Arabidopsis thaliana: one gene and its partners. The protein of the gene in region 3 purifies or fractionates together with the protein of the main gene of each other region. This does not show direct contact. Each region holds a gene or a part of one and is shown on either strand. Other genes may lie near its edges.

Evidence for each region.
Region 1: the proteins of AT4G38780 (region 3) and EIF2 fractionate together in Arabidopsis thaliana (co-fractionation; one large-scale study listed by BioGRID). This does not show direct contact.
Region 2: the proteins of AT4G38780 (region 3) and AT2G42270 fractionate together in Arabidopsis thaliana (co-fractionation; one large-scale study listed by BioGRID). This does not show direct contact.
Region 4: the proteins of AT4G38780 (region 3) and ARP7 fractionate together in Arabidopsis thaliana (co-fractionation; one large-scale study listed by BioGRID). This does not show direct contact.

The regions. Positions count from the first base shown.
Region 1 is NC_003071.7:16,697,519-16,702,238, forward strand, and holds EIF2 (eukaryotic translation initiation factor 2), read right to left. Parts: upstream 2,792-4,720; 5' UTR 2,412-2,791; coding exon 2,166-2,411; intron 1,982-2,165; coding exon 1,902-1,981; intron 1,754-1,901; coding exon 1,524-1,753; intron 1,297-1,523; coding exon 1,175-1,296; intron 1,093-1,174; coding exon 979-1,092; intron 904-978; coding exon 814-903; 3' UTR 523-813; downstream 1-522. Other genes in the region: HSPRO2 (ortholog of sugar beet HS1 PRO-1 2), read right to left, coding at 3,131-4,438.
Region 2 is NC_003071.7:17,602,304-17,610,342, forward strand, and holds the start of AT2G42270 (U5 small nuclear ribonucleoprotein helicase), read left to right. Parts: upstream 1-2,026; coding exon 2,027-8,039. Other genes in the region: UVI4 (uv-b-insensitive 4), read right to left, coding at 1-326, 591-980. UniProt on the Arabidopsis thaliana protein: RNA helicase that plays an essential role in pre-mRNA splicing as component of the U5 snRNP and U4/U6-U5 tri-snRNP complexes. Involved in spliceosome assembly, activation and disassembly.
Region 3 is NC_003075.7:18,108,074-18,112,830, forward strand, and holds the start of AT4G38780 (pre-mRNA-processing-splicing factor-like protein), read right to left. Parts: upstream 2,968-4,757; 5' UTR 2,957-2,967; coding exon 2,760-2,956; intron 2,552-2,759; coding exon 2,428-2,551; intron 2,346-2,427; coding exon 2,253-2,345; intron 2,161-2,252; coding exon 1,770-2,160; intron 1,670-1,769; coding exon 1,177-1,669; intron 1,082-1,176; coding exon 291-1,081; intron 192-290; coding exon 1-191. Other genes in the region: AT4G38781 (uncharacterized protein), read right to left, coding at 2,968-3,120; AT4G38790 (ER lumen protein retaining receptor family protein), read left to right, coding at 3,353-3,578, 3,944-4,143, 4,221-4,361, 4,440-4,520, 4,648-4,757. UniProt on the Arabidopsis thaliana protein: Functions as a scaffold that mediates the ordered assembly of spliceosomal proteins and snRNAs. Required for the assembly of the U4/U6-U5 tri-snRNP complex.
Region 4 is NC_003074.8:22,472,045-22,476,957, forward strand, and holds ARP7 (actin-related protein 7), read left to right. Parts: upstream 1-1,938; 5' UTR 1,939-2,253; coding exon 2,254-2,556; intron 2,557-2,758; coding exon 2,759-2,900; intron 2,901-3,148; coding exon 3,149-3,390; intron 3,391-3,466; coding exon 3,467-3,650; intron 3,651-3,735; coding exon 3,736-3,956; 3' UTR 3,957-4,401; downstream 4,402-4,913. Other genes in the region: PBF1 (N-terminal nucleophile aminohydrolases (Ntn hydrolases) superfamily protein), read right to left, coding at 1-64, 267-357, 457-599, 685-814, 923-1,004, 1,477-1,584, 1,719-1,765. UniProt on the Arabidopsis thaliana protein: Essential protein required during embryogenesis and all plant development stages, probably through a chromatin-mediated regulation of gene expression.

The DNA of each region.
Region 1 (4,720 bases), on a different chromosome or scaffold from region 3:
TTGACAGAGAAACAGGCGTATACATTTGCTATCAAAATCCATTCCACAAAAACTCCCCTCATGTTTTTACAACACAAACTAAAATAATCAAGTTTTTAACCACAAAAACTTCAAATACTCGTTCGGATTCAGCGAAATCAGTTTAATGTATTCCGATACATAAACCGTAGCTCTAATTTAGCTTATCAGAAAGACAAAAAAACGGGTAAAAAAATTGATTGTGTTAGTTGTGTAGTGAAAGCAGGAAATGAAAAAATTGCTGAATGATTTCAATCGCAAATGTTGTGTAATATTTAGATATTAACTTCCAATAGTGTCTATTATATGCCAAAGTTAGCATTATTATATGCAACCGCAAATCGCAAATTGTTTACAATTTAGAAGTTAGTTTCCAATAGTGTCTATTAAGCCTGTTTTGTAAGATCCTACATAGGCCAATCGCAATACGGCAAAAGAGAAAGCAGTAATTCTAGGCTTCTATACTCTTTCAATGTAACATAGCTAATAGAGAGAGACCATGATCCAAAATTCTGAGCATAAATATCTCCAGTGATAAAGATTAGGCGCAACAAGTGGCAAATAAAAAAAGAACAAAGCTCATTTATATGTATATTGTTTAAAATTAGGCACACCAACTAAAAATCCCTTTTAAAGACCTTAATTCACGAAACAGAGCATTTTGTCTTTCTTAAACTTGCAATTTAGGAACACTACAACAAGAAGCTGATTCTTACATAAACTTGTTAAAAGAAAATTCGAAACCAAAAAAGCAGCATTCCCCATTTTTAGCAAAACCTTGTGTTTCCAAGCTTATTATAGCATTTGAGCAGCTGTGTTTAGCTTCTCCGCTAGACTCAACTGTGTCCTTGTTATGCTTGATAGGTACAACAGAAGCAATTGGTCCTGAAATAACAGAAGAAACAACCATTAGTTTTTTACAAAGTGTTTTGCTTTGGCTTGAAATTTACAATCTTTTACCTGGAGACTATCATTCACGAGGTTATCGAAGACTTGTGGAGGTAACTTGGGAAGGGAGGCTACTGCATCTGCAATGAATCGTCCAATGTTGTTGTCTGGAGCTATTTGACCTCCCTGGGAAATTTCATTAAAACTCTGTATCAAAGATCATGTATCTATGGTCGATAATAGACAGTCAAGGATATCATAAGCTTACCACGACACTGTCAACATATTTGTAGACATCGTTGATTAGAGTTAACAGCCTCTCCATTGTTAACTCCATTCCTTCCAAGTCATTTGGGAGTTTGTCAACAGATGTTGCCTTAAGTACATCGACTGTGGATCAAAATGATGTTTTTAAATCAGTCACAATCATTAATCTACTGAACAGACACAACCAAAGATCATCTATTCCCGTTGGTTCATTCACAATCATTAGGGAAACAATCTCTAGATACTGAATCAACCATGCAGAAACTGAACTACTTAGACAATTGAGGAATGAGGACTGTTATGTATTTTGAATATAGAATTGGTTACTAATAAAAGGATAGAATACTCACATCCGACTCTCTCAGCATCAACCATGCGGAGATCAACAGGAATCTCTTGAAAATGTGCAACGAGTTGTCGATCACCGAGTGAGAGGTTTGAAGAGACAAAAGCTTTGATAGTACCCTCACCATTAGTAAACCCAGTATCCACAGTTAGGTGAATTGGGTTGGGTACTTCTCTAGCATAGAAATCATGAATCAGCGAACTACCGCCATTAACCCCAGCACCAGTTGAATACCTGCAAATCAATAAACTTGTTCAATCAACTATTCCAAAATGAGAAACTACCTAATGCAGTGTTCCAACACAGCTACAAGAATCATGTGACAAAGATATGAGACTAATCATGAGAGTATAAGAGAATAAGAGTGGGAAACGAGAAGTACCAGCCGACAATAGTTTCCTTTGAATTCACCTTAAGGTGTGAAGCTAACATATTGTGGTGGTAATCAATATCCACAGCAACCTGCATCCATATCAAACCATAACCCTCAAAACTTATCACAAGTCACAACCTTGGGGTATGAAGCTAACACTACTCCTATAAACATTCACATCCTAACAAGCAAATCTTCAGCTACGAAAGATCTAGGATCTCCAACGATAGAGAATCGAGAGAGAGGAGAAATTTAGAGATCAAAATTTCGAACCTGATCGGATGATTCATTGTGAGGGACGGCGTATGAATTGCGGATATCGACGGTTCCGTCAGGTAAGATAGATCCGAGGAGAGTTCCGATGACTCGTTCAGCTGAGTCAGGACGTCTCACGAAGCAATCACAGACGTTAAAGATAACGAGAGGGTGGATCCTCGCCGTGAGTACAGAGGTTGTAGCGGACGCCGTTGATGACGGAGACACAAATTGCAAGATGGTGTGCTCGCTCGTCGCCGCCATGGTTAAGATTCTGAGAAGGGGTAAAAGGCGCGAGAGAGTGGAGATTTAGGGTTTCCGATGTGAGCGTCAGAGGAAGGTAGGAGAAGGCATCAATGATACAGAAGATAGGTTATGTGCCAGTGGGCCTACAAACAGGCCCATTAAATGTTTTTCTTGGACTAATGAATGAATACTCATTCAAACACTTCCCTTCTTTCTCTTAATGAAATTTGTTGAACACAAAAAACAGAGAAAGGCAATGTCGTTTTATACATCGGTTTGGTTACTCATCGTCGGTTTGGGTTTTTTATAACGTTTTTGTGTGTGTGTTTATCATTGAATTTTGAATATTATACACTGTGAAAGTGAAATTGTGTTTTTCTCATAATTTAACATCTACAAAGGATAGGTGTGAAATTGTGTTTTTCTCATACACTAACATCTACGAAGGATAGGTGGTGATTTGTTGACGATTAGTCAGAGCATATAGATTAGTCGTTACTCGTTAGTAGACCACCCATATTTGAATTACGACTTGTGGATAATTCAAAGTATGGATTACGATATTCGTAAATGTTATCGTTTGTTAAAAAATCTCATAAATCATATAAAAATGAATTTGTATTCAAATATGGATCGTCAAATGTTCCAAAAATTTCACTATCTTACAAACTAAATTAAACCAAACCACCAATTTAAATTTATATTAAATAATTATACCAGCAGAAATTAAAATTTAATCATCCCAAATGACTCCAAAACTCTCCCAGAAACGTCTTTGCCGCGTCAAGGCTCGGGAAATACGTCGGCTCCATAAATATCTGACTCAGTGAGTCACACGACTCTTGACTCGCCGTCGCGTTCATCTCCGCACTTCCCATCATAGCCGCCACTAACTGCCTATACCCAAAGAAGAAACTCTTCGCCGCCGCTTCCACCGCTTGCATCCCCTGAAGCAAATGAATCTTATCGCACTCTGTCTTCCTCGCGTAAAGCTTCATCGCCGCCTCTTGTAATCTTGGTCCTCCGGTTGGATCTACCTCAACCGCCAAGACCGCCGGTACTTTCTGTCTCAGATCTTTCGACATCTTCATCATCTCCACTAATCCTTTAGATCTGAAACAAAACGCATCGTTTTTACCCGTCGATTTGATCTGTAACTGTTTCTTCAATTTCAAAAAATCTTCCGGATCCATCAACATATGAAGATCTTCAATCTCCGCTAAAATTTTCCAGATCTTCTCCAGCAAGTAAACATCGTTTGAAGCTTTTCCGAATTTCTCTTCTTCGATACTTGAGACGATTCGATTCAGAAGATTTCCAGATGCGTAGATCCACGATTCGAGGATCTGGTGAATGATATAGAGAGTTTGATTCTCGTGATTATCGATATGATCTGCGTATGGATTATCCTTGAGGCTATAGATCTCGTTTGGTCGGCAAATCGCATCGTACCGGAGATTTGGTTTTCCGGCGATGTTTTGTTCACCGAGTCCGAGCGTGTACTTACACCGACTCATCTCGTTATCGATCGTATATAAGATCTTCTTCCCCAAAGCCTCTGATCTCCTCCACGTAGCTAGCTGCGGTAACAAACTCAACGAACTCCGTCCACCGCCGACCGGAGCCTCCGCTGATATACCTTCTTCTTCTTCATCTTCGCAGATCGCTGCTACAAGCTGGATCTGCTTCGTGATGAGAGAATCTAGCCTCCGGTTCCATTCACGGTGGTTGATGTACGGTCTAGTATCAGAACAAACGGCGAAAACTAATCTGAAACTGATCTCCAAAGCTTGAAGAGCTGGTTTGAGAATCGGCTCTGATGTCCATTGAGGAAAATCACGAGATGACCAGAGCTTTCTTAGCTCAGGGAGACGAAGGTAAAGCTCGTAAGCAGAGCAAAGAGCAGGTGCTGAACATGAGATCGGAGATGAAACAGGGACGATTTTGAACGGTGATGGAATAGTTACGTGAAGCTTTGAAGAAAGCTTAGGTGAGTTTGGTAAATCTGATGATACCATCTTCCTCTTCCAATCCATATCAACCATTTTTATTTTTTTAAGGTCTGTGTTTTTTTTGGTGTGTGTGTTTGTGTTTGTGTGTTAAATTTTGAATTTGAGGATGAGTTTAGGATACGAGGAGAGTATATATAGAGAGAAATGTGGATAGAGGATGGGGACGAGAAAAAAGGCGTGTGGAATAATACCGACGCGACTGATTTGAAAGTCAGCGTAGAAACGCGGTCTCCTTTTTAAAAAAAAAAAAAACCAGTACTGTGGATTAATTTCAGGATAATCTTTTTTTCGTTTTTTGGCTTTATATTGCTTTTT
Region 2 (8,039 bases), on a different chromosome or scaffold from region 3:
CTCTTCATTTTCTGAATCTCTTCCATCACAACCTTCTCCACTTTATCAATAGAGTTGAGGAGCTTCTTCTCTGGAGTGAGGGCATCTTCTTCCCCTGTGTTTTCTCTTGTGATGTCGAGCAAAATCTGATGGACTTTAGCAGTTGAGGGTGGCCAAGGACGCTTGAATCCAATAGATGGACCGGGAGTAACCATAGAATAGTCGTGCTCGAGATGAGCACCTGACAACGGTACTAGAGAATCAAGAACCCCAAGTTGTTGTGGAGTTGGGGTCTCAATATCTCGGCCAACACCTTCTCCCATACGAGCTCTCCTTCTCTCAATAGCCTGCATATAAGAGTTTGTAAATAGCCAGACTAAGCAAGCCTTTTGGTAACAGGTTATGACTTATGATATAGTTAACAAAGAGGCTAAGCAAGCCTGTTACAGAAGACTAATCTAGCTTATAAGCAGCAGATTCTGAACCAATATGCAAATCACAAACCAGATATAAACAGATCACAAATTAGCTATATATCAATGAAAAAAACTCCAGTTAAATCTAAGAATAAGCAGACAAATCCAAAATGAGACTAGGTTTAGTGAACTAACCCTAACAACGGCAGAAATATCACGGAGGGGCGTTCTTGGATACCAAGAAGGTAAGACAGAATTTGAAGCACGAGCCCTTCCACGCCTTGTAACACCCAAGCTCATGTTCTCTCGTCCCTGTGGCGATCTAAATTGAATTTGACCTCTTCTACCACCACCAGTCCGCCGAATACCGAAATTACCCCTCACAAGCCCACCTCTTCCCGTCATAGATCCTTGACCAATTGACCCAAGTCCTCCTGTAGCTTCCGATGGCACTCTCTGAACCGGAGACCCAAACAAATTGTGCTGTGTTGCTGGTTCGTCAAGTAAAATACCATGCGAGCGTCTATTGAGAAATGCGGCTGGGTAATCAACTTGCCTCTCTATTCGATCTCGTGCTTCTGGCATTTGTGATTGAGCGCTGAAGAAATCAAACAACTATGCCATTAGAACACACCCAAAATCGAAATCGCAACATTAAAACCCAAGAACTCAGTCTTGTTCTCCATTGTTAATCAGATTTTCTCGAAACCTCATAAACAACAAGAAAAAGAGATCAACTCTTCGTTTTCGCAACAAATCTCCGTCACATCACAAAGAACCTACTTGAACAAATCAAACCATGGATTTACCTATGAATCTTCAATAGATTCCTTCGTGATAGCTCGGAATGGCTTCGTGAACGGTAAAGTGGAGGGGACAAAGGAGAAAAAGAGAGAAAAGCTTTTGAGAGAGAGACGATCTGGCAAACAAAATTTAGACCATTTTCTAGGCGGGTTTTGTAATTGAAAATGAAAAATTTCGAGCTCGCACGTGTCAAAGTGGTTTCACCTGTGTGAAATATTTTGAATTTTTCATCTCACGCGGGATAAATTTCGTTTTTTTTCAAAGCGCACATTGTCACAATTCGTCAAATTCTTTGTCAGATTTCAATTTTGCCCTTCTGAATAAAACTGGGCTTGTGGCCCAATTCTATTTACGTACGCATTGCTTTCAAGATCGAATCCTCACCGTTAATTGTCATAGGATCCAACCGCTGCTTTTTACTAATACCAGAAAACCGGATTGGCTAGTTGGTACGGTCTAATGATACGATAACTTGCTCTGATTATACGAAAACACTCATCAAGAACCAACTCTAATTAATGTTTTCTTCTAATTATAGTTAAAACGGATTGAACCGGACAATTCCATAATTTTAGTCGGCTTCCGGACAGGCCTTCGTGGGTTTGGAATTTGTGGCCGACAATGTATTGTCGGTTTAAGACTTGTTTAGGGTGTATATATAAGACTGTTGAACGAAAAAAAAAAAAAACTCATCGACTCGATCAAATTCTTAAGACGACGATTACGGAGAACGGGAGAGAGGTAATAGAAGAGTTTTTCGTTCCGAATTTTGTTTTGTTTCATTGATTTAATTCTTGGAATTTGGGGTTTGTTTTTCCGATTTGGTGATGACGAATTTGGGTGGTGGTGGTGCGGAGGAGCAAGCCAGGTTGAAGCAGTATGGGTACAAAGTCAATTCCAGTCTTGTTCTTAACAGTGATGAGCGTCGTCGTGATACGCATGAATCTTCTGGTGAACCGGAGAGTCTCAGGGGTAGGATTGATCCGAAATCCTTTGGAGATCGTGTCGTTAGGGGAAGGCCTCATGAGTTAGATGAGCGGCTTAATAAATCTAAGAAGAAGAAGGAACGTTGTGATGATTTGGTGTCTGCTCGTGAGAGCAAAAGAGTTCGTCTTAGGGAGGTGAGTGTACTTAATGATACGGAGGATGGTGTTTATCAGCCGAAGACTAAGGAAACAAGGGTTGCTTTTGAGATTATGCTTGGTCTTATCCAGCAGCAATTGGGTGGGCAGCCTTTGGACATTGTTTGCGGTGCGGCTGATGAGATTTTGGCAGTTCTTAAGAATGAATCCGTCAAAAACCATGAAAAGAAGGTAGAGATTGAGAAACTACTAAACGTTATTACTGATCAGGTTTTCAGTCAGTTTGTTTCGATTGGAAAACTGATTACAGACTATGAAGAGGGTGGTGATTCTTTAAGTGGTAAAGCTAGTGAGGATGGAGGACTTGATTATGATATTGGTGTTGCCCTTGAATGTGAAGAGGATGATGATGAGAGTGATCTTGATATGGTCCAGGATGAAAAAGATGAGGAGGATGAAGATGTTGTTGAGCTTAACAAAACTGGAGTTGTCCAGGTGGGTGTGGCAATAAACGGCGAGGATGCAAGACAGGCAAAGGAGGATACGAGTCTTAATGTTCTGGATATTGATGCTTATTGGCTTCAGAGAAAGATATCTCAAGAATATGAGCAGAAGATTGATGCACAAGAGTGCCAGGAACTCGCAGAAGAGCTGCTTAAGATACTTGCTGAGGGTAATGATAGGGATGTTGAGATCAAGCTGCTTGAGCACCTTCAGTTTGAAAAGTTCAGCCTTGTTAAATTTCTGTTGCAAAACCGTCTTAAAGTTGTGTGGTGCACCCGTTTGGCTAGGGGAAGAGACCAGGAAGAGAGGAATCAAATTGAGGAGGAGATGTTGGGGTTAGGTTCAGAGTTGGCAGCAATTGTTAAGGAGTTGCATGCCAAAAGAGCAACAGCCAAAGAAAGGGAGGAGAAACGGGAGAAAGATATCAAAGAAGAAGCTCAACATCTTATGGATGATGATTCTGGTGTTGACGGAGACAGAGGCATGAGAGATGTTGATGATTTAGATTTGGAGAATGGTTGGTTGAAGGGCCAGCGTCAGGTGATGGACCTGGAGAGCCTTGCTTTTAACCAAGGTGGTTTCACGAGGGAGAATAACAAGTGTGAGCTTCCTGATCGCTCTTTCAGAATACGTGGCAAGGAATTTGATGAGGTTCATGTGCCGTGGGTTTCTAAAAAGTTTGATAGTAATGAAAAGCTTGTGAAAATTAGCGATTTGCCAGAGTGGGCCCAACCAGCTTTTAGGGGAATGCAGCAGTTGAATAGGGTTCAGAGCAAAGTGTACGGCACTGCTCTTTTTAAGGCTGACAACATTCTTCTTTGTGCTCCAACTGGTGCTGGGAAGACCAATGTTGCCGTGCTCACCATACTGCACCAGCTTGGATTGAATATGAACCCTGGTGGAACGTTTAATCATGGTAATTACAAAATTGTCTATGTTGCACCAATGAAAGCCCTTGTTGCTGAGGTCGTGGATAGTCTATCTCAACGTTTGAAGGATTTTGGAGTTACTGTGAAGGAACTCAGTGGGGATCAGTCCCTTACTGGGCAAGAAATCAAAGAGACTCAGATAATTGTTACAACGCCAGAGAAGTGGGATATCATCACCAGGAAATCTGGAGATCGCACTTATACACAGCTTGTGAGGCTTCTTATAATCGACGAAATTCATCTTCTTGATGATAATCGAGGGCCTGTGCTTGAAAGTATTGTCGCTAGGACTCTTAGGCAGATTGAAAGCACAAAGGAGCATATTCGTCTGGTAGGTTTATCTGCAACACTGCCAAATTGTGACGATGTGGCTTCATTTTTGCGAGTGGATCTTAAAAATGGGTTGTTTATATTTGACCGTAGCTACAGACCTGTGCCTCTCGGTCAGCAGTATATAGGAATTAATGTGAAAAAGCCGTTACGGAGGTTCCAGTTGATGAATGATATATGTTATCAGAAAGTAGTGGCTGTTGCTGGAAAACACCAGGTCCTTATTTTTGTTCATTCGAGGAAGGAAACAGCAAAAACTGCAAGGGCAATACGGGACACAGCTATGGCAAATGATACCCTCAGCAGATTCTTGAAGGAAGATAGTCAAAGTCGTGAAATTCTTAAGTGTTTAGCTGGACTTCTCAAGAATAATGACCTGAAAGAGCTTCTGCCTTATGGTTTTGCAATTCATCATGCTGGGTTGACAAGGACTGATCGTGAGATAGTTGAGAATCAATTTCGCTGGGGGAATTTGCAAGTGTTGATTTCCACGGCAACTCTTGCCTGGGGTGTGAATTTGCCTGCACATACTGTCATTATCAAAGGAACCCAAGTATATAATCCTGAGAGAGGGGAGTGGATGGAGCTGAGTCCTTTAGATGTTATGCAGATGATTGGTCGTGCCGGAAGACCTCAATATGACCAACAAGGGGAGGGAATAATAATCACTGGATACAGCAAGCTACAGTATTATCTTCGTTTGATGAATGAGCAACTACCTATTGAAAGCCAGTTTATTTCCAAACTTGCTGATCAGCTCAATGCTGAAATTGTGCTTGGAACCATTCAGAATGCTAGAGAAGCTTGCCACTGGCTTGGCTATACATATTTATATGTCCGCATGGTTCGTAATCCGACACTGTATGGCGTATCGCCTGATGCCCTTGCAAAAGACTTGCTATTGGAGGAGAGAAGAGCTGATCTGATACATTCTGCTGCCACTATCTTGGACAAGAACAACCTGATTAAGTACGACAGGAAAAGTGGACACTTCCAGGTTACTGATTTGGGACGCATTGCTAGCTACTACTACATAAGCCATGGAACAATAGCTGCATACAATGAGAATCTGAAGCCAACAATGAATGATATAGAGCTTTGTCGTCTGTTCTCTCTGAGTGAGGAGTTCAAGTATGTCACTGTTCGACAAGATGAGAAGATGGAACTGGCAAAGCTTTTGGATCGTGTACCAATTCCGGTAAAGGAAACACTAGAAGATCCCAGTGCAAAGATCAACGTTTTGCTGCAAGTATATATTTCAAAGCTAAAGCTCGAGGGTCTTTCTTTGACATCTGACATGGTTTATATTACCCAAAGTGCTGGACGTTTGTTACGAGCTATTTTTGAGATTGTGTTGAAGAGGGGGTGGGCTCAACTGTCTCAGAAAGCTCTCAACTTGTCTAAAATGGTAGGGAAGAGGATGTGGAGTGTTCAGACACCCCTCTGGCAGTTTCCTGGAATTCCCAAGGAGATTCTGATGAAGTTGGAGAAAAACGATCTGGTGTGGGAGAGGTACTATGATCTATCTTCACAGGAGCTAGGAGAGCTTATTTGTAATCCTAAGATGGGCAGACCACTTCACAAGTATATCCATCAGTTCCCAAAACTGAAACTTGCAGCACATGTTCAGCCGATTTCTCGTTCTGTTCTGCAGGTTGAGCTCACGGTGACACCTGATTTCCACTGGGATGACAAAGCAAATAAATATGTTGAACCGTTTTGGATAATTGTGGAAGACAATGATGGTGAAAAGATCCTTCATCATGAGTACTTTCTTTTTAAAAAACGGGTTATTGATGAGGACCACACTTTGAACTTCACTGTACCAATCTCTGAGCCAATTCCCCCACAGTATTTCATCCGAGTGGTTTCAGACAAATGGCTTGACTCGCCGACTGTGTTACCTGTATCTTTCAGGCATCTTATTCTTCCAGAAAAATACCCACCACCTACAGAGCTACTGGATTTGCAGCCCCTCCCGGTGATGGCCCTAAGAAATCCTTCTTATGAAACTCTTTATCAGGATTTCAAGCATTTCAATCCAGTGCAGACTCAGGTCTTTACTGTTTTGTATAACACAAGTGACAATGTAGTGGTTGCTGCTCCAACAGGAAGTGGGAAGACTATATGTGCGGAGTTTGCTATATTAAGGAATCATCTCGAAGGACCTGATTCTGCAATGCGTGTTGTCTATATAGCACCTCTTGAGGCTATTGCCAAGGAGCAGTTTCGTGATTGGGAGAAAAAGTTCGGAAAGGGGCTTGGTTTACGGGTTGTTGAGTTAACTGGGGAGACATTATTGGATCTTAAGTTGCTTGAGAAAGGTCAGATAATCATAAGTACTCCTGAGAAATGGGACGCTCTGTCCCGGAGGTGGAAACAGAGAAAATATATCCAGCAGGTTAGTTTGTTTATCGTTGACGAGCTTCATTTAATTGGGGGTCAAGGTGGTCAAGTGTTGGAGGTAATTGTCTCTAGAATGAGATATATTTCAAGTCAGGTTGGGAATAAAATCAGGATTGTTGCATTATCAACTTCCCTTGCAAATGCCAAAGATCTTGGAGAGTGGATTGGGGCCAGTTCATGTGGCGTTTTTAACTTCCCGCCTAATGTTCGTCCTGTCCCACTGGAGATCCACATTCATGGGGTGGACATATTGAGTTTTGAAGCCAGGATGCAGGCGATGACTAAGCCAACATACACTGCCATAGTACAGCATGCCAAGAACAAGAAACCAGCTATCGTTTTTGTCCCGACCCGTAAACATGTCCGCCTTACTGCTGTGGATCTGATAGCATACTCGCACATGGACAACATGAAGAGCCCTGATTTCCTTTTAGGGAATCTGGAAGAATTAGAGCCTTTTTTAATACAAATTTGTGAGGAAACTCTGAAGGAGACTTTACGCCATGGCATTGGCTACCTGCACGAGGGTTTAAGCAATCTGGATCAGGAGATTGTGACTCAGCTTTTTGAAGCTGGACGGATTCAGGTATGTGTAATGTCTAGTTCATTGTGTTGGGGTACTCCATTGAAGGCACATTTGGTTGTTGTAATGGGAACACATTTCTACGATGGACGGGAAAATTCTCATTCGGATTACCCCATCTCTAATCTGCTCCAAATGATGGGGCGTGGTAGCCGACCTCTGCTTGACGACGCTGGGAAGTGTGTGATCTTCTGTCATGCACCACGTAAAGAGTATTACAAGAAATTTTTGTATGAAGCTCTTCCGGTTGAGAGTCATCTTCAACATTTCTTGCATGATAATTTCAATGCAGAAGTAGTTGCTAGAGTTATAGAGAACAAACAAGATGCTGTGGATTATCTTACCTGGAGCTTCATGTACAGGAGGCTTCCCCAGAACCCTAACTACTACAATCTCCTGGGAGTGAGCCACAGACATTTATCTGATCACCTCTCAGAGCTCGTTGAAAACACTTTGTCTGATCTTGAAGTGAGTAAATGCATTGAAATAGACAATGAGTTGGATCTCTCTCCTCTCAATCTTGGTATGATTGCGTCATATTACTACATAAATTACACCACCATTGAGCGATTCAGTTCTCTCTTGGCTTCCAAGACCAAGATGAAGGGTCTTCTTGAGATCTTGACTTCAGCTTCGGAGTATGACTTGATTCCTATACGTCCTGGTGAAGAGGACGCAGTTCGGAGACTCATCAATCACCAGAGGTTCTCTTTTCAAAACCCAAGATGCACAGACCCTCGTGTGAAGACAAGCGCACTTCTTCAGGCGCATTTCTCAAGGCAAAAAATCAGCGGGAACCTTGTAATGGATCAGTGTGAGGTCCTTTTATCAGCAACAAGGCTTCTTCAAGCAATGGTCGATGTGATATCGAGCAATGGCTGTCTGAATCTTGCTCTTTTAGCTATGGAAGTAAGCCAGATGGTGACTCAAGGCATGTGGGATCGAGACTCCATGCTTCTGCAGCTTCCTCACTTCACAAAGGACTTAGCCAAAAGGTGCCATGAGA
Region 3 (4,757 bases):
TCTGATACGTTCACGATTGTAGTGAGCAACATTTGTCCACCAATCAGCTTTAGACTTGACATATCGGAGGATCATATTCTCAATTGCCACAGGTAATCCAGGGACCTTCCATGGTATATTAGCTTTCCAACACCGCCATGCCTCACTAAGGTGCTGCAATATCGTCCGCGCCTTATTTTGCTTAATACCCTCTGCACATTAGAAGACAGTATAAACCAACAAGGAAGAGATAAAATTAAAGGAAATCGACCTTGAGAAAAACAAATCAGTTATAGACGCAAGAAGCGAACCTGGCATTGCATCAACAACATCATGCATGACAGCAGCTCGAAGCTCCAAATCAAAATGGCTTTCAACTCTCTGTTTTGTGACTGTTTTGGCCACTCCCTTTGAGTGACGCCCCTCAAATTGACGTGCAAGCAGATTCCCTAACCATCGTTCTAGAAGAGGAACTATTCCGCGAAGGAAAAACAACCATACCCTCCACATTGGAGCCCAAAATCCACACCCTGGTCCTTTACCCACAGGACCAGTATTGAAACGGTAATAGATCAAGTGTTTCAAATCCTTGCACATCCTGATTTGTCTCATAAGCCTGTACTTATAACGATACATACCTGTCAATTGCCCAACATGGGAGAAAATATATTGCAGGCCATCAGCCAATTGAAAGGCATCAACATTACCAAGTCGGAACTGGACATTTGCATCAACTACAAGTTTTGTCAGCCGGAGGATCTCACGGCAGAGATGGAAAGCATTTCCAAAACGCGACTTCTTTCGTTCCTTGGTTGTCAGAGTTTTCACAGGCTTGAGGTTGAAGTTATAATCAAGGTGCAGGTAGTTCAAATTCTTCCTGTGAATCAACAGGTTCAGCATATTATACCCCTGCCGGCAGACTTGCAGACCCACTTCAACCCAATCCAGTTCGGTGCTCTGAAAAAACTTTGTAGCTGCAAGAGATCGAAACAAATGCTTCTTCTTCTGAGCCTTAGGGGGTCTATGGTGCAGCTCATTCAGTAGATAACATTTCAAAAGCTTCTGGTAACTAACCCGAACTTTGACAGGATATGCTGGAGGACTGCAGAAAATGAGATAACTAAGAAGTTAATACAATGTCTAGTAAATTTCAAAAGGGGAAAGAGAACCACAGTAGCATCAGAAAAATTAGCTTACCAGTGCTCCTTAAACCACTCTGCAACAAGGGGTATATCTTCAGCCCGCCGAGTCCTCCCAGACCTCATATTGAAAGGCCGAGGGGCAAACAACAATGAAATGCCAGGAGCTGTAGTGTCAGTGTAGAGTGGCGAGTTATTTAGCAAAGGTTCCAGTCCTTCTGGTAACACAAAGTCATCCCCATCATCATCATAACCATTACTTTTGCGCTGTTCTTTATTAGTGTTATTAGAGTTACTTATGGGGTGAATTAATGGATCATAATAAAAGGCAGGAAGGTCAGGATCCTCAGTCTTTATGTACATAACCATAGGAGTGTGATAGACACAGAGTTTTACTTTCCTGGGCCTATTATTGTACAGATGTGGGAAAGCTACTTTGTACTCAGTTCGCAGAGGGGATCGAATTATAAGCTTGTTGATGTCATTAAATTCATTCCAGTCTTCATCTCCTTTCTCCATATCACGATGCAAAGGCTCAAACTTAGGACCGCCTGAAAAAGAGTACCAAATTGAATCAGGGAAAGAGAACAGAAGGACAACAACTGTGAAAACGAAGATATCAGAACAGGAGAACATAGAGTATAGCGTTACCTGGTATGCACATGTTCAGTGCCTTTGCAGTAAAGAATGATGGCATGTCAAACAAGTAGAAGTAGTTGCGATCAACCAAATCAGACAACAACTGGGCTGCAAGCCTGTGAAGGGTTGACATAATTGGAAGTGAGAGATTCCACGTCTGGTAACTTGGACCATTGATCATTTTTGTTTTTACAAGTGGCTTGTGGTCGTAAAACCAAGAGTACACAGCAGAATCTTCTTCTTCATCTAGCTCCAACTGAATTGCCTCTAGAGGATCAACGTCCAACAGGTTATCAGCATAGTCTAGAGGGGGCTCCTCATCATCAAATGGTGGAAACCGCATTCTCTTGAAATGACGACGATCCCTCTTCTCCCTTCTCATCATTATCCACATAGAACCCCACTGCAAACGAAAGAATCATCACTAGAAAACATGTCTCACAAATTCACAAATGCACAGACACAAAAGAAGAGAGAGGGAGATTATTCACCCACCTGAGCCATGTAAATAGGTTCCACAACCCATCGTACTTCGTTCACAAATGTAATAGCTCCAGTGATGTGGTACAAGACCTTCACGTCCCGGACCTGGAAAATATCTGAGTTCAAAATTTTGAGCAGAGCAGGAGAACAACTAAAGCGAGATATAGATCACTAAGTGAATAATTACCTGTTCCCAGGGCATAGGCATATTCTCCAGGAGCTTGAAAACTGCGTGAGGAACGAACTTAAGTGCTCCAAGATATACACGTTTATCAAGTCGATGTTTCTTTGATGACATATCACCATGATCCCTGAATCAAAACGCAGAGTCAGTTTCAATCTAACTTAACCCAAACCTAATAATACAAAGAAATTGGACCAGATTCGTTTCCCAGTCAACTGGATTTCGAAATCGAAATTGAAAAATTAGAAACTCGCCTGATGATTTTCCTAACGTGCTCAGGTGGCATGTCCTCCTTCTGAGTTTCCACGAACCCAAACTTCCTCTTGTCGCCGTACCGTTTGGAATTTAGCTGCATCCATGTTCTCGCCTTCTTCTCAAGCTTCGCCTCTGCATCCTCGGGAGTAGGAACCGTCGGAGTATTCCGATTAGAAGGCGCCGTGTAAGAAGGATGATCAGCGGGATGTGAAGGTGTCTGCATCCTCGAACCGTCGGTACCAGGAGGAGCTAAGGACGTACCATCAATGTTCCACATAGCTTCAGATTTCAAATCCAAAGGCCCAGCAAAATCGCCGAGGAGCAAAACCCTAAAACCTCAGTGCGAGCCTTGACGAACACGAAAATCCCTAAAATCACCGTCGTCGGGTGAGGTTGGTAAGAAAGACGATTAACCGAACGAACATATATATACGAAGGCATTCATGGGCCTTTTAGAAAAACAATAGATACGATTATGGGCCTAATTTATGGATTCAGTCACGGCTCATTTAGTATTTAAGAGTAAGAGATGTGTGGAAGGGGTGATTTGGTAATTTACATTCAAGTCAACCAAAACCAGACTTTTTAATCTCTCTCGATCAGAAGTTACCTTTTTCACTTTTGCCGAGAAAATCAGAGACAGAAGAAGAAGAAAAGCGAAAAAAAGCAAAACATGAAGGCGACGACGAAGACTCCGATCCACGTGGTGTGGTCATGGGTTAGGAGACAACCTCCGAAGGTGAAGGCTTTTCTCGCCGTGGTCACTGGCATGGCGGCTTTGGTTCTTCTCAGATTCATTGTTCACGATCACGACAATCTCTTCGTTGCCGCTGAGGCTGTTCATTCCATCGGGATCTGTGTGCTCATCTACAAACTCATGAAGGAGAAGACCTGTGCCGGTACTATTCTATGTGTCTTGTCTTTATCACATCCATTTTTAGGGTTTTTCAACTCAGTCCTGCCTTATCAGCTTCTGATCGTATGTATTCCTCTGTTCTTAGCAAAATTACTTTTCAACGTCACAACTTTTTTGTTTTTCCTCATAATCGCGTCCAAATTTTCGAGCTTTGATCAGGATTTCATTGGTTTACCACTATTATCTGCTCCCGGAAGCAGCCTTTAGCCGTAATTCGTAGAATCATCATCTTTATAATCAAGGATTCAATTGGCAATTTAGGGTTTAAGATGCATTCTATGGTTCTTTTTTTAAATCGAAAGTGTTTACCTTCGATGTGTTTATATAACTTTGTGAATGATTTTGCAGGATTGTCACTGAAATCTCAGGAGCTTACGGCGATATTTTTAGCTGTTAGGCTGTATTGTAGCATTGTAATGGAATATGATATACATACCATTCTTGACTTGGCTACTTTGGGAACAACTCTCTGGGTTATATTTATGATTCGTTTCAAGTTAAGAGCTAGTTACATGGAGGACAAAGACAACTTTCCTCTCTATTATGTGGTAAGTCAATCTGGTTTTGATCCTCGAGTTGTTTGTTATCATTTACAGTGACAATGATCTGATTTCAATTTTTGCAGCTTGCGCCCTGTGTTGCATTAGCTGTGTTCATCCATCCATCGACCTCTCATAACATAATAAACAGAATTTCATGGGCTTTATGTGTATACCTTGAAGCTGTTTCAGTACTACCTCAGCTACGAGTGATGCAGAACACAAAGGTCACTACTTTATTTCACAATGTCAAGTAGAGAACTACATTTGTTTTACTCTCTAATCCGCGTCTATTTGGTTTTCAGATTGTTGAACCGTTCACGGCTCATTATGTTTTTGCACTTGGAGTAGCAAGGTTCCTCAGCTGTGCCCACTGGGTTTTACAGGTTAGTTTTGATCTTCAAGAGTGGATAGAGGTTATACCAATAGTGGTGATTCCTATACTCGATTGGATTAGTACCTTAAAAGTCGATTTTGAATAGCTGAATACATTGTCTAATGTGCTGAAAATAGGTTGTGGACACGCGGGGACGGTTGCTTGTAGCATTGGGTTATGGATTGTGGCCATCAATGGTTCTGATCTCAGAAATTGTTCAAACTTTCATCTTGGCAGATTTCTGTTA
Region 4 (4,913 bases), on a different chromosome or scaffold from region 3:
TTCCTCAGGTCCATGAGTTCGGTCTTGATACCGTCGGCCTTAAGTATCATAATCTCAAGCTTGTCTCCCTATTACAGTAAACAATCCACAAAGCATTAGTTAGAGAAAAAAACTTGAGGAAGATGAAGTAGTTGTGCAACGTAAGGGATATAGATTAAGTAAATGTTTTGGTAATATTTTGAAGACTTGAACCAAATGCAAATGATATGAGCACAAAGGCAAGCTTTAGGTGGCGTGGTGACAAAAGAAGACACAAATAGGACAACTTACAGTGTAGATATCCCTCTCTGTGGCAGATGCGAAAACAGTTTTAACCAAGTCAACTGCTTCAGCTTCGGAAAGGGGCGTGTTTGAATCCTACATGGTGGCAGAAGACGAACAAATAAGCAACAGAACGATTCATTTTATCTTTACAATGCGAAACGCCAAAAGCACGAATGAAGAATATCAACAAACCTGTTTAGGTAGCAAAAGAGGACTTGGAGACTTGAGCTGATTGTCAAGGAAAGGCATGATGAGTGTGGAACCAGAACCTTGAGCACCGTATCCAACTCTCTCGTATGAGCCAACAGCGTCGTAAGTAAAGACACACCCTTTTCCTGGATATATTCAAGACTAAAGATCACACAAAGTACCCTCTTCTAAAGTCACATCATAACGGAGAAAAAAAGAGGAGCATTTTACCTTCCTCGTCAAGCCCTCCTAGAACATTAAAGGCATAGTAGGGGAAAAACCGCTTGAAATAAAGCGTGTTGGAGAGAAGCTGGGCCATTGCAGGACAGCTCATCTGCTTGTTATGCTGATGTTGATAGATCTGAAGGAAACCAAACACAGAGAAAACACTCTTACACAAGTCTTTCATCATTTTCTAATACTGCGAAGGATGAAAGATAATTGATCAAACGACCAAAGTTTAACTCACCAAGTGTCTGGATTTGAGAACCTTCTGCAAAGCTTTCACATCAGCCTGGAAGCCAGAGGAAGACAAAACAGCTCTGTCCGCTCTGGAAAAGTTAAAAGAAGACAACAGCTTAACAAGAGTCTTACAAGTTACATAAGATGAAAAACACGAGAATTCTATCTATTTCCATACGAATGAATACTTGTGGTATATAAGATCAACAACACAGTAACAAACACTCTTTACGTAAGGTTGAACAAACTCAAAGAACTACACACATTGTCAATAAACGTTATAAGAAAACGAATAAGCTAAGCAATAAACCGGATTATAGAATGATCAATGTAATCACAAAGTTTATATAGAGATAATTGTAACCACTATCAAAAGCCATGTCTAATAATAATTAAGAAACCTATTTTATCTCCACCCATATATAACTGGTTTCACCCAGATCTACGAATTACGATTGCAAAAAAACCCTAATAATCTACAGCAATAATAGTTCGATTGCCAGCATGGAATCACTCTCCCAAAGAATCAACAGTGAGAGAAGAAAGAGAATGGGTACTTACAGTTTATGGATTTTGGAGTAATCGCGACTAAGAATACTGTAACCAGTAGACATCCGAGTATCGGCGGCGATAACACAGTAATCCGATCCAGCGATGGCCACACATGTTCTGAAAAACACACAACGATTAAATTCACAGTAAGTGAATCGTAACACAATCGCCCAGATAGCAAATCAGAATAAAGAAGAAAGACACTAAGCGAAGAAACCCAGCAGGTTGATTAAAGGTCACACGATCCGTACCCTCCATTGTTATCGTAAGGAGACCAGTTCGCGTGCTGTTTAGTCATGGCGGATTTGAGAGAGAAAGCTTTGAGCTAGGGCTTAGAAGAATGAAAAATGGCAGACGAAGCTTTCCGGGTTTGTGTTTTGATGTCAAAGAAACTTCCGAATCGGATCTTATTAGCTCTGGCTTTGTTAACAAGAAAAAGACGGAGACTCAAAACAATACCGTTTTGGACGTGGAAATTACGGGCTGTAATAGGCTTTATAATGGGCCTTATTTGGGCTTTGAATTCCAAAGAAATAATCTTTCTTTTCTTTTCTTCTTCTTCTTCGTCTTCGATTTTCTCTCTCAACGCAAACTCGTAAGCTGCTTCCATTTTCCCTTCTAGACCATTGATTTGTTCTTCGAAAAAACCGTTCTTTCTTTTGCCTCTCACTCTAGTTCCTTCTCTCATTTCTACTTCTCTAGCTTCACTGACTTGCTGCTACCACTAAATCTTGGCATTTGTGGAAAGTTGGGAATTTAGGGTTTTTGGGTGTGTGTGTGAAAACAATGGAAGCACTAGTTGTTGATGCTGGCTCTAAGTTCCTGAAAGCAGGAGCAGCAATTCCTGACCAGTCTCCTGCAATGATAATTCCCTCTCAAATGAAACGAATGGTTGATGATGGGTCTTCTTCAGCTGATAACCCCACCACTGTCTTTGAGGATGTCACTCTTGATCCTATTGAAAGGGGTTTGATTAGAGATTGGGATGCTATGGAAGATCTGTTGCGTTATGTTGTCTACACTGGGCTTGGATGGGAAGAGGGAAACGAAGGCAATATACTTTTTACAGATCCACTTTGTACTCCTAAGGTTCTTATCTCCAAATTTCCTCCTTTGTTCTTAATTTAAAAGATTACAACTTTGAGTCTCTTTTCAATTCCCATAATCCTGTTCTGTTGGATTATGAAAAGGAACAATTTTGTTCTTTTAGTACCTCATTTTAGATAGTAAGACGTTGTTATTTTTAATGTTTCGACCTGATTTGGCTCTGCAAATGTTTGTTTGTGGACAGGCTATTAGGGAGCAATTGGTGCAGTTGATGTTTGAAACATTCAATGTCTCTGGATTTTATGCATCTGAGCAAGCAGTGTTGTCCCTTTATGCTGTTGGACGCATCTCCGGTTGCACTGTTGATATTGGTCATGGGAAGATAGGTATTATAACTTGCTTGGCCTTTGTTACTCTTTGTGTCTTTCACTTTGTCATAAACTCATAATTCCATGTTTTATGTGAGTTATGATGTTACATGAGATGCTGATTCCCTATACTAACCTTTTTCCATGATCTTAAACGTTTTGTTAAACCAATTTTTTTTGGATTCTTCTTGTGTTTATAGCTGGATATGATCAGGATGTTGTTATGTCTGATGTTTTAACTTTGTGGTTGATCCAACTCTTTTCAGATATTGCCCCAGTTCTTGAAGGTGCAGTACAACACATTGCCTCGAAACGGTTTGAGCTAGGTGGAACCGAGCTAACTAAATTATTTGCCCAAGAGCTTGGAAAAACCAACCCGTCGATGAATCTCAGCATGTCTGATGTTGAAAAACTCAAGGAGCAGTATGCAAACTGTGCCGAGGACGAAATTGCTTACAAAAAAACCCAAAACTGTGAAATCGAGCAGCATACTCTTCCTGATGGACAGGTTTGTGTGAAATCAAGATTCTACATTTTGTGTTGTTACCTTATACATATAGATAACAAAACCAATGGCCTTATAGGTGATAAGCATCGGGCGAGAGAGATACTCGGTTGGAGAAGCTCTGTTTCAGCCATCAATACTGGGACTGGAGGAGCATGGAATCGTTGAGCAGCTTGTCCGGATTATCTCCACAGTGTCATCTGAGAACCATAGGCAGCTCTTGGAGAACACTGTACTTTGTGGTGGTACAACCTCCATGACAGGTACTAACAACACTTGATATCATAGTGTGTTTGAATATCTTTTGGGTCGGAAAACTGAAGGGTTTGTTGGAATGGTCGATGGCAGGATTCGAAAGTAGATTCCAGAAAGAAGCAAACTTGTGCTCATCTGCCATTAGGCCAACACTGGTGAAACCGCCAGAATATATGCCGGAGAATTTGGGGATGTATTCGGCTTGGGTTGGAGGAGCCATACTAGCTAAAGTGGTGTTTCCGCAGAATCAGCACGTTACTAAAGCAGATTATGACGAGACTGGACCATCAGTGGTTCACAGGAAATGTTTCTGAAACCATAGACTATAAAACGATGTTGTTGTTGTAGCTGAGGATTTTTTTTTTGGTTGGCTTTGGTTTGAAGATGTGGACCAGATTATGTAGTACATTTCAAATTATGGCTTCCAAATATCGACTAATATGTGTTCAATGAGCCCTTTTCTGAAAACATTGACAAGGTAACTTTGCCAATGCCAACACACACCCATTGTCAGTGGAACTCTAAATGGTTTTGCAGATATGTAACCAGTGAAACTCTTGGTTTTGATGCAGAGAATGGCCAAGATCCTCTTTTTCATTTTGTTTTGAGATCTTTAGTACTTGTACAATCAAATAACACAGTCCCTTTTTGTTTTGTTGGTGTTGTTTGCTGAAATTCGAGAAGGAAAGGGTCAGTGTTAATGTCTAAACAGAATTCAATTTTTTTTATTTTGTAAATTGGTTGCCTCTTTACCTTGTTACTTGTTGTTAGCTTATCTCATCCCTTCTCTCATCTATATAATCGGAAAAGTTTTTAATTAGTGAAATTTAAAATGGAAAGATAATTAGTAGATTTTCTTTGACTTTCTTGATTTTTTTTTCATAATTAAAAAAAAACTATTAATTCTTGAAATTTTGCACGCAACCCGTTAGATTCTAAATTGGTGACGTATATAAACTCAGAAGAAGTAGTAGTACCTTCTTTCACAAGACTCATTTTTTAACGTTCAAGAACAGAAACAAAATTCACTCACTTATAAGGTCTGTGACCACCAGAATAGTAACCATCTGTTGACGTCACAAGTAAAGGAAACCACCCAATCTCACTGTATTAAACGCATCTCTCGAAAATGTTCCCAAACGAATCAATGTTAACCACCTAAAGATACGGTGTTGTTGAAACAACTCTTTTGTTAGTATGTGTTAGTTTAGTACAATAAAACCTTTATAAATTAATAATGTTGGGACAAAGATATTTTATTAATTTAGAGA